Linked DNA regions of Xenopus tropicalis. The main gene of each other region encodes a partner of the protein of the gene in region 2 in a complex. Links are inferred from orthologs where the notes say so. Each region holds a gene or a part of one and is shown on either strand. Other genes may lie near its edges.

Evidence for each region.
Region 1: the proteins of calr (region 2) and gabarap are in contact, whole or in part, in a crystal structure (PDB 3DOW), measured with the Homo sapiens proteins. The link is inferred for Xenopus tropicalis from reciprocal best matches to the Homo sapiens genes CALR and GABARAP. Residues at the interface, in NP_004334.1 of Homo sapiens: Asp199, Trp200, Asp201, Phe202, Leu203, Pro204, Pro205; in NP_009209.1 of Homo sapiens: Glu17, Ile21, Tyr25, Arg28, Pro30, Val31, Ile32, Lys48, Tyr49, Leu50, Val51, Pro52, Leu55, Phe60, Leu63, Ile64, Arg67, Phe104.
Region 3: calr (region 2) and celf1 share a complex: the UniProt entries of both Homo sapiens proteins name them as parts of the EIF2 complex. The link is inferred for Xenopus tropicalis from reciprocal best matches to the Homo sapiens genes CALR and CELF1.

The regions. Positions count from the first base shown.
Region 1 is NC_030679.2:153,335,685-153,340,544, reverse strand, and holds the start of gabarap (GABA(A) receptor-associated protein like 1), read left to right. Parts: upstream 1-1,609; 5' UTR 1,610-1,709; coding exon 1,710-1,799; intron 1,800-4,860. UniProt on the Homo sapiens protein: Ubiquitin-like modifier that plays a role in intracellular transport of GABA(A) receptors and its interaction with the cytoskeleton.
Region 2 is NC_030679.2:139,718,214-139,723,181, reverse strand, and holds the start of calr (calreticulin precursor), read left to right. Parts: upstream 1-1,910; 5' UTR 1,911-1,944; coding exon 1,945-2,038; intron 2,039-4,700; coding exon 4,701-4,802; intron 4,803-4,915; coding exon 4,916-4,968. UniProt on the Homo sapiens protein: Calcium-binding chaperone that promotes folding, oligomeric assembly and quality control in the endoplasmic reticulum (ER) via the calreticulin/calnexin cycle.
Region 3 is NC_030680.2:16,143,652-16,148,663, forward strand, and holds the start of celf1 (CUGBP Elav-like family member 1), read left to right. Parts: upstream 1-1,761; 5' UTR 1,762-1,825; intron 1,826-5,012. UniProt on the Homo sapiens protein: RNA-binding protein implicated in the regulation of several post-transcriptional events. Involved in pre-mRNA alternative splicing, mRNA translation and stability.

The sequences.
Region 1 (4,860 bases), about 14 Mb from region 2:
CACACACACTCACTCTCACACACACACTCACTCTCACACACACACTCACTCTCACAAACACACACACTCACTCTCACAAACACACACACTCACTCTCACCCTCACTCTCACACACACACTCACTCTCACACACACACTCACTCTCACACACTCACCCTCACTCTCACACACACACTCACTCTCACCCTCACTCTCACACACACACTCACTCTCACCCTCACTCTCACACACACTCACTCTCACCCTCACACACACACTCACTCTCACCCTCACTCTCACACACACACTCACTCTCACCCTCACTCTCACACACACACTCACTCTCACACTCACTCTCACATACACACACACACTCACACTCACTCTCACATACACACACACTCACTCTCACCCTCACTCTCACATACACACTCACTCTCACAAACACACACACTCACTCTCACCCTCACTCTCACACACACACTCACTCTCACCCTCACTCTCACACACACACACTCACTCTCACACACACACTCACTCTCACACACTCACTCTCACCCTCACTCTCTCACTCACACTCACTCTCACACTCACACTCTCACTCACACTCACTCTCTCTCACACTCACTCTCTCACTCACACTCTCTCACTCACGCTCTCTCACTCACACTCACACTCTCACACTCACGCTCTCTCACTCACACTCACACTCTCACACTCACTCTCACACTCACTCTCTCTCTCACACTCACTCTCACACTCACACACACACTCACTCTCACACTCTCTCACTCACACTCACGCTCTCTCACTCACACTCACACTCACTCTCACACTCTCACTAACACTCACTCTCTCTCTCTCTCTCTCTCACACACTCTCTCACTCACACTCACGCTCTCTCACTCACACTCACTCTCACACTCACTCTCTCTCTCACACTCACACTCACTCTCACACTCACACTCACACTCACTCTCACACTCACTCTCTCTCTCACACTCACTCTCACACTCACACTCACTCTCACACTCACTCTCACTCTCACACTCACACTCACTCTCACTCTCACACTCACACTCACTCTCACACTCACTCTCTCTCTCACTCTCACACTCACTCTCACTCTCACACTCACTCTCACACTCACTCTCACACTCACTCTCTCTCTCACACTCACTCTCACTCTCACTCTCACTCTCACTCTCACACTCACTCTCACACTCACACTCACTCTCTCTCTCACACTCACTCTCACACTCACTCTCACTCTCACACTCACACTCACACTCACTCTCACACTCACTCTCACACTCACTCTCACACTCACTCTCTCTCTCACACTCACTCTCACACTCACTCTCACTCTCACACTCACTCTCACACTCACTCTCACACTCACACACACACACTCCCACTCACGCTCTCTCACTCACACTCTCACACTCACTCTCACACTCACTTCTCTCTCACACAAACAGAATGAAACAGACTGAAAGGTTTCCGTTCCAATCGCACAAGTGAGTGAAGGGGCGGGAGGGGCGGTTGCTATGGTTACAGAGCTCCGGGCCCGATATGACGCAGCGGCTGACGTTGGGAAGGCGGAGCCACGATGCGGAAGTGGGGGGCGGGGCTCGGCCTGTTTATTTCCTGTCAGTGTCAGTCCTGAAAACAACAGGAACCGAAACTCCAATCGCAGTCTCGAACCGGTACCGCCCGGAGAGTCCGCCATGAAGTTCGTGTATAAAGAGGAACATCCCTTCGAGAAGCGCCGCTCCGAGGGGGAGAAAATCCGCAAGAAATACCCCGACCGAGTCCCGGTGTGTGACATACTGCCCCCGGGGCAACTACTGGGGCAGGAACCTTCCTCTGGGGCAGGAACCTTCCTCTGGGGCAGGAACATGGGGAGAGACTGGGGGTATAACATGGGGAGAGAGAGAGACTGGGGGTATAACATGGGGAGAGAGAGAGACTGGGGGTATAACATGGGGAGAGAGAGAGACTGGGGGTATAACATGGGAGAGACTGGGGGTATAACATGGGGGGAGAGAGAGACTGGGGTATAACATGGGGAGAGAGAGAGAGACTGGGGTATAACATGGGGAGAGACTGGGGGTATAACATGGGGAGAGAGAGACTGGGGGTATAACATTGGGGAGAGAGAGACTGGGGGTAATAACATGGGGAGAGAGAGACTGGGGGTAATAACATGGGGAGAGAGAGACTGGGGGTATAACATGGGGAGAGAGAGAGACTGGGGGTATAACGTGGGGAGAGACTGGGGGGTAAACATGGGGAGAGACTGGGGGTATAACATGGGGAGAGAGAGACTGGGCGGGTTATAACATGGGGAGAGAGAGACTGGGGGTATAACATGAGAGAGAGAGACTGGGGGTATAACATGGGGAGAGACTGGGGGTATAACATGGGGAGAGAGAGACTGGGGGTATAACATGGGGAGAGAGAGAGACTGGGGGTAACATGGGGAGAGACTGGGGTATAACATGGGAGAGAGAGAGAGACTGGGGTATAACGTGGGGAGAGAGAGAGACTGGGGGTATAACATGGGGAGAGAGAGAGACTGGGTATAACATGGGGAGAGAGAGAGAGACTGGGGTATAACGTGGGGAGAGAGAGAGACTGGGGTATAACGTGGGGAGAGAGAGAGACTGGGGGTATACATGGGGAGAGAGAGACTGGGGGTATAACATGGGGAGAGAGAGAGACTGGGGGTATAACATGGGGAGAGAGAGAGACTGGGGGTATATACGTGGGGAGAGAGAAGACTGGGGGTATAACATGGGGAGAGAGAGAGACTGGGGTATAACATGGGGAGAGAGAGAGACTGGGGGTATAACATGGGGAGAGAGAGACTTGGGGGTATAACATGGGGAGAGAGAGAGACTGGGGGTATAACATGGGGAGAGAGAGAGACTGGGGGTATAACATGGGGAGAGAGAGAGACTGGGGTATAACATGGGGAGTGACTGGGGTTACATGGGGAGTGACTGGGGGTATAACATGGGGAGTGACTGGGGGTTATACATGGGGAGAGAGAGAGACTGGGGGTATAACATGGGGAGAGAGAGAGACTGGGGGTATAACATGGGGAGAGACTGGGGTATAACATGGGGAGTGACTGGGGGTATAACATGGGGAGAGAGAGAGACTGGGGGTATAACATGGGAAGAGAGAGACTGGGGGTATAACATGGGGGAAGAGAGAGACTGGGGTATAACATGGGGAGAGAGAGAGACTGGGGGTATAACATGGGGAAGAGAGAGACTGGGGTAGACTGGGGGTATAACATGGGGAGAGAGAGAGACTGGGGGTATAACATGGGGAGAGAGAGAGACTGGGGGTATAACATGGGGAGAGAGAGAGACTGGGGGTATAACATGGGGAGAGAGAGAGACTGGGGGTATAACATGGGGAGAGAGAGAGACTGGGGGTATAACATGGGGAGAGAGAGAGACTGGGGTATAACATGGGGAGAGAGAGAGACTGGGGGTATAACATGGGGAGAGAGAGAGACTGGGGGTATAAACATGGGGAGTGACTGGGGGTATAACATGGGGAGTGACTGGGGGTATAACATGGGGAGAGAGAGAGACTGGGGGTATAACATGGGGAGAGACTGGGGGTATAACATGGGGAGTGACTGGGGTATAACATGGGGAGAGAGAGAGACTGGGGGTATAACATGGGGAGAGGAGAGAGACTGGGGGTATAACATGGGGAGAGAGAGAGACTGGGGGTATAACATGGGAGAGAGAGAGACTGGGGTTATACATGGGGAGAGAGAGAGACTGGGGGTATAACATGGGGAGAGAGAGACTGGGGGTTTAACATGGGGGAGAGAGAGACTGGGGGTATAACATGGGGAGAGAGAGAGACTGGGGGTATAACATGGGGAGAGACTGGGGTATAACATGGGGAGAGAGAGAGACTGGGGGTATAACATGGGAGTGACTGGGGGTATAACATGGGGAGAGAGATGGGGGGTATAACATGGGGAGTGACTGGGTATAACATGGGGAGTGACTGGGGGTATAACATGGGGAGAGAGAGGACTGGGGGTATAACATGGGAGAGAGAGAGACTGGGGGTATAACATGGGGAGAGAGAGACTGGGGGTATAACATGGGGAGAGAGAGAGACTGGGGGTATAACATGGGGAGAGAGAGAGACTGGGGGTATAACATGGGGAGAGAGAGAGACTGGGGGTATACATGGGAAGGAGAGAGACTGGGGGTTTTAAACATGGGAGAGAGAGAGACCTGGGGGTATAACATGGGAGAGAGAGAGACTGGGGGTATAACTCGGGAGAGAGAGACTGGGGGTAAATAACATGGGGAGAGACTGGGGTATAACAAGGGGAGAGACTGGGGGGTATAACATGGGGAGAGGAGGACTGGGGTATAACATGGGGAGAGAGAGAGACTGGGGGTATAACCATGGGGAGAAGAGAGACTGGGGGATAACATCGGGGAGAGACTGGGGTAATAACATGGGCAGACTGGGGTATAACAATGGAGAGAGAGAGACTGGGGGTATAAATGGGGAAAGAGAAGGACTGGGGTATAACATGGGGAGAGAGAGAGCTGGGTATAACATGGGGAGAGGAGAGACCTGGGGGGTATATACATGGGGAGAGAGAGACTGGGGGTATAACATGGGAGAGACTGGGGGTAAATAACATGGGGAGAGGACTGGGGGTATAACAATGGGAGAAGAGAGAGAGACTGGTATAACATGGGGAGAGAGAGAGAGACTGGGGGTATACCATGGGGAGAGAGAAGAGAGACTGGGGGGTATTAACAGGGGAAGAGACTGGGGGTATAACATGGGAGAGGAAGAGAGACGGGGGTATAACATGGG
Region 2 (4,968 bases):
ATTCTGAGAACACGCACACAGTCCGCAAATCGTACGGAATTAGGTTTCATACAATTTTATCGCCACGTGTATGGCCAGCTTTAATGGGGAAGGAAAGGTACAAAAACTGGGGGGGTGCCAAATGTACCCCCAGTGATTGTAATCACTTACCTGGTACCCTGGGCTAGTATGTGGGTTTTATTCTGCTCAGTAGCCCATGCTGGATGCAATGGAGGTGCCATGGGAAATATTTTCCACATGAGTCAGTTGGTGAGTAGCAGGAAACTCCCTTCAGTTGGTCCTTTTTTTTTTACCTTCCATCTGCAGATCTGATTTTCTATTTGAATAAATGGCTGCAGAGGAGCTTACACACAGTATCACATGATGTGACGGGAACTGTATATCAAAGGGATATGTTGGCAGGGCCCTACACATACCTTAACTGCAAATAAACACTGTAGCAACCCATTGTTCCGAGAGCCGGATGCCTTACCCATTGTGTGCCACGGTATATGGCAATGCGTCCACACCCCCTCACCTGGTAGCCAGACATAGACTACTTGTACTTTTATTTAAGAGTTAAATATAAAATTAAAGGGCCAGTATCCCCAGGAAATAGAAATAGTTACATAGTTACAATGACCCAAAAAGAAAATAAACATACAGTTCATGTAGTCTGAAGGCTGATCTGATGGCTTCTTCCCCAGGGTCAGTGATCAGAAATGACTGCAGTGATTGGGAAACAACTTAGGGGAGAATTCTTGAGGGCACTGAGCACACCACAATCGCCTTTTTAGACAGGATGGGGGGTTGGGCTTTGTTTAGTCAACAAAAAGATGCCAAACACAGCACTGCTGGTAGCAAATAAACTGCCATGAAAACACATTTTAGGAGTTTGCCTGGTTGCAAGGGTACACTGGAGCTTAGCAACCGGAGAGCTGCTGGATTAACAAAAGTGGAGAGCTCCTGAACAAAGAGCTAAAGTACCAAAAGGAATATCACTATCACTTTAATGTAAAGGGGAACTAGCCCTGTAACAGTAATGTTGGATATTGCTTGCAGGAGGGGTCAGGTAAGTGTATGTGTGTATGGGGAGTTAAGGCAATGCCTGGCTGACAATCTGTTTACATTGGGTCCAAAGTTTATTGCTTAGAATTTGGGCAATTCAGGTTGGGACAGTACAAGGCTGGGCATAGGGGGAATTAGAGAAAGGAGCTGAGCCAGGGGAAAGATGGGGGCCACATATTGTTATCTCCCCCACCCAAACATATACAAAATCGCACCGACTCTGATTGAATATCTTAGCTACAGTTGGGCAATGGGAACATTGGCACTCACACTGCATAGGTGCCTTGGTCTGACCACTCATTCAACCCAAACATCTCTGCCCCCTTTGCAGACTGAATATCCCATGGTGCAGTCAGAACCCTGACCCTGCCAGCAATTGTGTGGGGGCAGTTAGGGGCAAAGTCCCCCAGTTGTAGTAGTACTTACAGCCAAGCAATACAAAGGCATTCAATAATAAACAAAAAATCAAAGAGCCGTCCCATTAATACAGAGCGCTCCTACTAATTCATGAAGGAATGCAACAAAAATGAAAATACTACCGGTTAATTATTTAGTGCAACCTAACCGGAGATCACGTGATCCAGCAGACCACGTGTTCCAGCCCTCATACCCCCGTCTCTATAGGAGACGTCCAACCATCTTACGACTAGTAGGAGGCCCCTGCGTGGTGCACGGTCATTGGTCATCGCCCGGACCAATCAAAAGCAGCCATCTGTGTTCCCTGAATGGCAGTGCGGCCGGCCCAACCAGAAACGGACACCGGTGCGGCCGCAGCCAATGGAGTGACAGGCGGAGGGAGGGAGCGGCGTAGCTATATATAAGCGGCTGTCGCTGGTTGCGAGGTGCTTAGTGGTTCCTGGACGCTGTGCTTGACAGGTCTTTTGAAGGGGCATCACCATGGCCCGCGTTGCCTTCCTCATCCTGCCGCTGCTTGCGGCTCTGTGCATCGCAGATCCTGCTGTTTACTTAAAGGAAGAGTTCGCTGATGGAGGTATGGAACGACTTCATGGCATTAGAGCTTGAAGGCAGGGACAGTAAAATACGGCTGGGTTTAACTGCAGCTCCCGGCATGCTCAGCTAGAGAGAACGCATTCTTTTGCCTTTCCCTTAATACAAGTGCCCATTGATGCACGGATAGATAGCACTGAGGGGCTGGGTATGTGACTGAGGCGCTGTAGCTCCTATGTAGTGATAATGCCTGCCCCCTGTTATACAAATACAGCCCCCCTCATTGGCCAGTAATGCCTTTACATTGGCTCAGGCCACCTTGCTGTCCCACTCTTCCTCATGTATTATGTAGCTGCACTACAACTCCCAGAAGCCTCTCCTGGCCAGTAATGCCTTTACATTGGCTCAGGCCAGATGGCTGTCCCATTCTTGCTCATGTATTATGTAGCTGCACTACAACTCCCAGAAGCCTCTCCTGGCCAGTAATGCCTTTACATTGGCTCAGGCCAGATGGCTGTCCCATTCTTGCTCATGTATTATGTAGCTGCACTACAACTCCCAGAAGCCTCTCCTGGCTAGTAATGCCTTTACATTGGCTCAGGCCAGATGGCTGTCCCATTCTTGCTCATGTATTATGTAGCTGCACTACAACTCCCAGAAGCCTCTCCTGGCCAGTAATGCCTTTAGATTGACTCAGGCCAGCTGGCTGTCCCACACTTGCTCATGTATTATGTAGCTGCACTACAACTCCCAGAAGCCTCTCCTGGCCAGTAATGCCTTTACATTGGCTCAGGCCAGCTGGCTGTCCCATTCTTGCTCACGTATTATGTAGCTGCACTACAGCTCCCAGAAGCCTCTCCTGGCCAGGGGCTTTAGCTACTAAAGGGTGTAACAGATCCCTATATAGTGTTGGCAGTGGAACTGCTGCTATTCAGACTTCACCATGATCCAGATAATATAAATATATATATATATATATATTTATTTTGTTATTATTATTGCTATATTATGTGCATTAAGCTGGATTACATAGTTATACATGGGCTGGGCACCTTTTTGGCTTTAGGTAGGGCTAGTAGGGGGGATGCTGGGAAGTGTAGTTCAATAGAGGGGATGCTGGGAAGTGTAGTTCAGTAGGGGGGGATGCTGGGAAGTGTAGTTCAGTAGGGGGGGATGCTGGGAAGTGTAGTTCAGTAGGGGGGATGCTGGGAAGTGTAGTTCAGTAGGGGGGGATGCTGGGAAGTGTAGTTCAGTAGGGGGGGATGCTGGGAAGTGTAGTTCAGTAGGGGGGGATGCTGGGAAGTGTAGTTCAGTAGGGGGGGATGCTGGGAAGTGTAGTTCAGTAGGGGGGGATGCTGGGAAGTGTAGTTCAGTAGGGGGGGATGCTGGGAAGTGTAGTTCAGTAGGGGGGATGCTGGGAAGTGTAGTTCAGTAGGGGGGGATGCTGGGAAGTGTAGTTCAGTAGGGGGGATGCTGGGAAGTGTAGTTCAGTAGGGGGGGATGCTGGGAAGTGTAGTTCAGTAGGGGGGGATGCTGGGAAGTGTAGTTCAGTAGGGGGGGGGGATGCTGGGAAGTGTAGTTCAGTAGGGGGGGGGGGATGCTGCATGTTGCAGATCCTCCTCATTGAATAAATCCCAATTGTGTTCTGTTTGTAACCTTGGCTGTGTCCCCTGCAAACAAATCTAGTGGATCCCCTGCCATCTGTACAAATATTTGTGGGGCAGAACAGCTGGCCGAGGGGGCGTGGCCCTGCGCTGACACCCGGGTCTGAGTTGTGGGTGTGGGTGCTTTGTGTAATGCAGTAAGGCTCATACAAGCTGGGCCCGTCACGTCGGCCTTCCCATACATGGAAGCTGCCGGAACATGGTGGTGTATAGTATTCTGCCCCAATCCTTCCCATGTATTTGCATCATTAAAGCCGGCCCTGCAGCCCAGAGAGTGCCTGCTGAACCTTCTGGAAGCAGCGGGGAGGCGGAGCTGGGGTTAATGGCCGGCTCTAGCCCCTCCTACCATCTATACATAAGGAAAGGGAAAGTGGAGGGGGGAGGTGATGGGGAATGCTGCAGTATAAGGGATCCTTACCTGAGCCTGGTTAGAATGATAGTATTGTGTGTATTTATTGCTTGTAATGCTCCGGTGCCTGCTGTGGGGGGGGATAGAGTGGCCATTGTGTCTGGGACTATGTGACTAGGCATCGGCTTGCATTACAGCTGCACAAGATGTGGGAGATGCCATGTTTGCTAGGCAGAGATCCATTCCCCCACCTATGGGGAGTGCCCCTGCTGAATATGGTAGCACCCAATTGTAACTGGGGTTATGGGAATATTTATTGTATGTAATTGTAGCTTCTAGTTTCTGTTCTAGTTTGATCTGCCCCGTGCCTAGGTATGTAGGGTGCCCCCCCGTGCCTAGGTATGTAGGGTGCCCCCAATGTATGTATATAGGGTGCCCCTGCATTAGCAGAGTAGGGTGTCTCTCTGCCCACTGAGGATGGGGTTTTCCCATTGCCCATATAGTGAATGCATTAGCAGTGCATGGGCTGCCGCCGGTTGTGCCTCTCTATGCGTCTATGGAAAGAGGGCATGGTACTAACTGGCACAGATAGTTGGGCATCCTTCTGCTCGGGTATGTAGGGTGGCACATTGAAGTAGCCCAGTAAGCCATTCTAAGAATCAACTTTAACCTGTCGTGTTCTTCTCTATCAGATGGGTGGTCGCAGCGCTGGGTAGAATCCAAGCACAAATCTGACTATGGAAAGTTCAAGCTAAGCGCCGGGAAGTTCTACGGAGACGCAGAGAAGGACAAAGGTGAGTGCCCTCTGCTGGTGGGGTGGCTGTTATATCCCTCACTTTACTTCTGTAGATGGGGGTTTGTGTAAATGCTTTGAGTTAAACTCTACATCTATCTCCCTCGTGCCCAGGTCTCCAGACAAGCCAGGATGCCCGCTTCTACGCCCTGTCTACCCGCTTTGAT
Region 3 (5,012 bases), on a different chromosome or scaffold from region 2:
CAGTGGTGAACCTTCCCAGGAGTGGCCGGCCGACCAAAATTACCCCAAGAGCGCAGAGACAACTCATCCGAGAGGCCACAAAAGACCCCAGGACAACATCTAAAGAACTGCAGGCCTCACTTGCCTCAATTAAGGTCAGTGTTCACGACTCCACCATAAGAAAGAGACTGGGCAAAAACGGCCTGCATGGCAGATTTCCAAGGCGCAAACCACTTTTAAGCAAAAAGAACATTATGGCTCGTCTCAATTTTGCTAAAAAACATCTCAATGATTGCCAAGACTTTTGGGAAAATATCTTGTGAACCGACGAGACAAAAGTTGAACTTTTTGGAAGGTGCGTGTCCCGTTACATCTGGCGTAAAAGTAACACAGCATTTCAGAAAAAGAACATCATACCAACAGTAAAATATGGTGGTGGTAGTGTGATGGTCTGGGGTTGTTTTGCTGCTTCAGGACCTGGAAGGCTTGCTGTGATAGATGCAACCATGAAGTCTACTGTCTACCAAAAAATCCTGAAGGAGAATGTCCGGCCATCTGTTCGTCAACTCAAGCTGAAGCGATCTTGGGCGCTGCAGCAGGACAATGACCCAAAACAAACCAGCAAATCCACCTCTGAATGGCTGAAGAAAAACAAAATGAAGACTTTGGAGTGGCCTAGTCAAAGTCCTGACCTGAATCCTATTGAGATGTTGTGGCATGACCTTAAAAAGGCGGTTCATGCTAGAAAACCCTCAAATAAAGCTGAATTACAACAATTCTGCAAAGATGAGTGGGCCAAAATTCCTCCAGAGCGCTGTAAAAGACTCGTTGCAAGTTATGGCAAACGCTTGATTGCAGTTATTGCTGCTAAGGGTGGCCCAACCAGTTATTAGGTTCAGGGGGCAATTACTTTTTCACACAGGGCCATGTAGGTTTGGATTTTTTTACTCCCTAAATAATAAAAACCCTCATTTAAAAACTGCATTTTGTGTTTACTTGTGTTATCTTTGACTAATAGTTAAATGTGTTTGATGATCAGAAACATTTTGTGTGACAAACATGCAAAAGAATAAGAAATCAGGAAGGGGGCAAATAGTTTTTCACACCACTGTATATATATATATATATATAAAAAAAAAAAAATATATATATATATATATATAAATGTATATTTTATATATATATATATATATATATATATATATATATATATATATATATATATATATATATATATATATATAAATGTAGCAGGTTATATAGGTTACTGAAAAAAATATATATAGATATATCAACTGTATGTGGGTTAATTGGAAAACATATATATATATATATATATATTATATTATATATAAATATATATATGTTTTCCAATTAACCCACATACAGTTGATATATCTATAACTAAACATAGATTATGTAACTTGTATGTTATTGCACATGAGTTCCCCCAGCACAACAAGCTCTGACAGATGACAAGTAACTCCCGGCCAGTGGTGCCATGAAGCTCCAGTCCAGGTATTACTCCGCGCTTCTCTCTCCCCCATTGCCGAATGATGATTCCAAGTGTCGCGCAAAGGCCGGACTGGATCGCGTTGTGACCAATCCCCCGGCGGCGGCCAATCTTCCCTGACAAGCTGTGCCTCCCGCCTGCCCGCACACGCCGCAGCACAGGCCCATTATTGGTCGCTTCCCCCCCACCCCCCCCCATGTAGGCCGACTTGGTGGATCCGCCCGGAAGTGCCGCCATTTTGGATCCTCTGCGCACAGGGAGAGTGAGAGCGGAGCGTGACCCGGGGGACGGCGAGCGGGAAACGGGAGCTGAGGGCGGCTCTCCCCCCACCCGGTAAGGGCTTGCAGGGAGGCGGGATCTCTTAGTCCGGGTTCATGGACAGGGGTTTCTGTCACCTCATTCTCGAAGGAGTTGTTGCTGGGTAACGGGATCTCCGCCCCACCCCGCTCCTCCTGAGTAACGGGATGTAAGGGCCGGGCGCGGAAACTAGCTGTACTGTACTGTGCTACTGCTGCCCATTACCCTGTCCCTCCTGCCTCAGTATCCCATAGGGGCTGCAGCCGGGCTACACGCACCGGGATCCCCTGAGGCGCTGCATGAGGTGCCTGTGCATTGCCCCTGTACTTGTTACCCCCCCAGCTGCCTGATTGCATCCCAGATACCCCAGGCCTGGGCACCCTGCAGCCCTCCAGCTGCTGCTAAACGTATAGGGTGTTCCCCCCTGCTGCATGGTCTCTCCCTGCTACTTTGTTTCAGGAGTCTGAACCAACAGTGCACCAACAGGTGGCTTGTGTTTGCCCCACACTAACCCCTTCCCATGGGAATAGGGACTTGCCCTCTGGCCTGGGAGCTCCAGCATGTGGCTTTACTCCACGGACAGTGATTGCTGCATGTTTTTTTGGATTCCTAGAAACCTCCATGTAAGCCTTCACCTCATTGGCCCAGGCATTAAGGGGTATCTCAATAGCCACTGTTTGTATGTCTAACACTTTCAAGGGGATCATGCCCCCACTAAAGGAGTGCCTTTGGCAGTGCCAGCAGGGTTGGTAGGGAATGCCCAGGCTGTGCAATAGATTCCCAGTGCTGAGGCTCAGGGTGACTTTAGCTTCCAGACAGGCCTCACGCTAGAGCTGGGCAGTATGACCAAAAATTTATATCACGGTATTTTTCAAAATTATATCGGTGTCGCGGTATTTGACGGTATTTTTTTTTTTCCATGCATGATTAGGTGTTAACCCCATTTCCTAATAAATTAGAGAATAATTACTACTGTATTGAAAATCAGAGTCAGGCAAGCGAAGGATCGGCAACAGAAAGTCGTAAGGCAGGCTTAGTTTCCCAGGCAAGGCTGCAGACAACATAGCACAGGAGGAGGCGTTTGATAGCTTTAAATACCCCCCCACGCATGCGCAGAACCGGCGCCACGTCACAGACGTGCACGCTTTGACATGTACGTGCGCTTTGACGCTCCTATGCAATGTCCCGTGGACAACGGGACATGCGCGAGATGGGTGAGTACCCTGACACCCCGGTATTGCGGTATCTGAAAAATGAATATAGTTTTAAAAAGAAACACCGGTATTCGGTATTAAACGGTATATCACCCAGCCCTATTTCATGCTTATTTTTATTCCATAGCAACCATCCTGCCTGCCCCTGTGTAATTGTATGTCCGTTCCCTGGTTGCCAGACATCTCCAGTTCCTGGCCCCATCAGAGGTTCCGAGCTTTGGCCAGGGCCACTTTATGTTATAACCTGTAGAAGCCATAGTTCCAGGTATATGGGGAAAGGTTTTCAACCCAAATCTCACCCTAATTGACCTTCAGGTGTATATTGGAGAGCAAATAGGCATTCACCCCAAAATGTTTGCCTTAGCAGTGATACCCGCGGCACCACTGGGACACGTTGGTGACCTACTTTCCCTGTTGAGTCTGGGGAGGCACTGTGGGGCCTCACATGCACTGTTGGTTCCGCTGGGTGCCTGACCGTGTGTATATTGTATGTGACGACTCCTTCATGCGTGTGACAGGCCCTAATGGGAGGCCGTGCAATCTTCATTCTGCATGGTTGCTTACATGTGTCTGTTTTTTAATTAGTAATGGTAACATTGGCAGTGCCTAGCAGCACGTGGCCGCAGAGGTGAATGGGGATTGGACTGCATGGTGTGCATGGGTAACTGCCAGTGCACTGCATGGGATGTGCCGGGAACCTAAGTATGCTGTGTACTTCAGGCTTAACCATTATAACCTGTGCAGTTTATTTTCCAGCTCTGCTGAGCGGAGCATAGGGAATATAAAGTGCCCAGCTTTCCAGATCCCATCGCTTGCAACTCCCTGCTGTTCCCTAGCAAAGAATTCTGGGAGCTACGTGACATTCTTTCCTCGGTGCCTTTTGTCTTGTTTAATCTTATTGTATTTCTCTTATCTATTATATCAGGCTTTACTCCTGTCTCACCCCCCCCCCCCCCCCCCCAGCAACAAGCCCCATACTCTTTCCTATGTAAGCCTGGAAAGTGCTTCTCCTTCCTTACATAATCCGCATGTCATTGGTTCCTATGCCCCCTACCTCCAGAGTAATTACACTTACACAATTAGGTCTTTCTGCCCCACAATCAACTGATACCGGCTTAGGAATTCTTTCCTTTAATACCCTTAATTTTCTTGTATCATTTGGTTTTTGCCTTCTCTTAGGTTAGATAGAATTAAACTGCCCGTATATGCATGGTGGGCTGACAATCCCAACTGATATTCATGTATTGTGTATATTGGTTGGTTCACCGATTGGGCAATATATTGGCTGGGTGTTTGAGTGAGTCTGCTTATTAGCCCTGGTACTTCAGTACTGATGCCCCCTGCTGGCTACGCCACAGAGCTGTGGATTTTGTAGTTTGGCTGTACCAGCTGGGTTTATGGGCTAGTGTCGTGGCTATCACTCGTGTAAGCATATTACTTAATTGGGGACAGTTTGTCAGTCAGTTTGCTAGTAGTTTCTTTTGATAGTCCAGCCCAGTGATCCCCAACCAATGACTCAGGGCAACATGTTGCTCACCAACCCCTTGGATATTGCTCTCAGTGCCCCCAAACCAGGTAGTTATTTTTGAATTCCTGACTTGGGGGCAAGTTTTGGTTGAATAAAAACAAGATTTCCTACCAAATAAAGCCCACTGTAAGCTTATAGTGTGCATAGAGGCTGCCTAATAGCCAATCTTAGCCCTTATTTGGCACCTCCATGAACTTTTCTGATGCTTGTGCTGCTCCCCAAGTGTTTTTACATTTGACATATGGAAACTAAAATAGTGCCCATCCCAAGGAACTGTTGGCAAATTGCTCAGAGTTGGTGGTGCTTATATAGAAGATACATTAGGCCGGTGTGTTTTTCAGAGGAATTGTAGCCTAGGGTCCAGGGATATTTTCCTTGGGGGGTGCCACCCCACCTAGTGAACAAATTTCCTGGCTTGCAATCGCATCTGCTGTTGTTTTTGGGTGAAGATTGGCTGCATTATCTGCACTACAGAATGGAG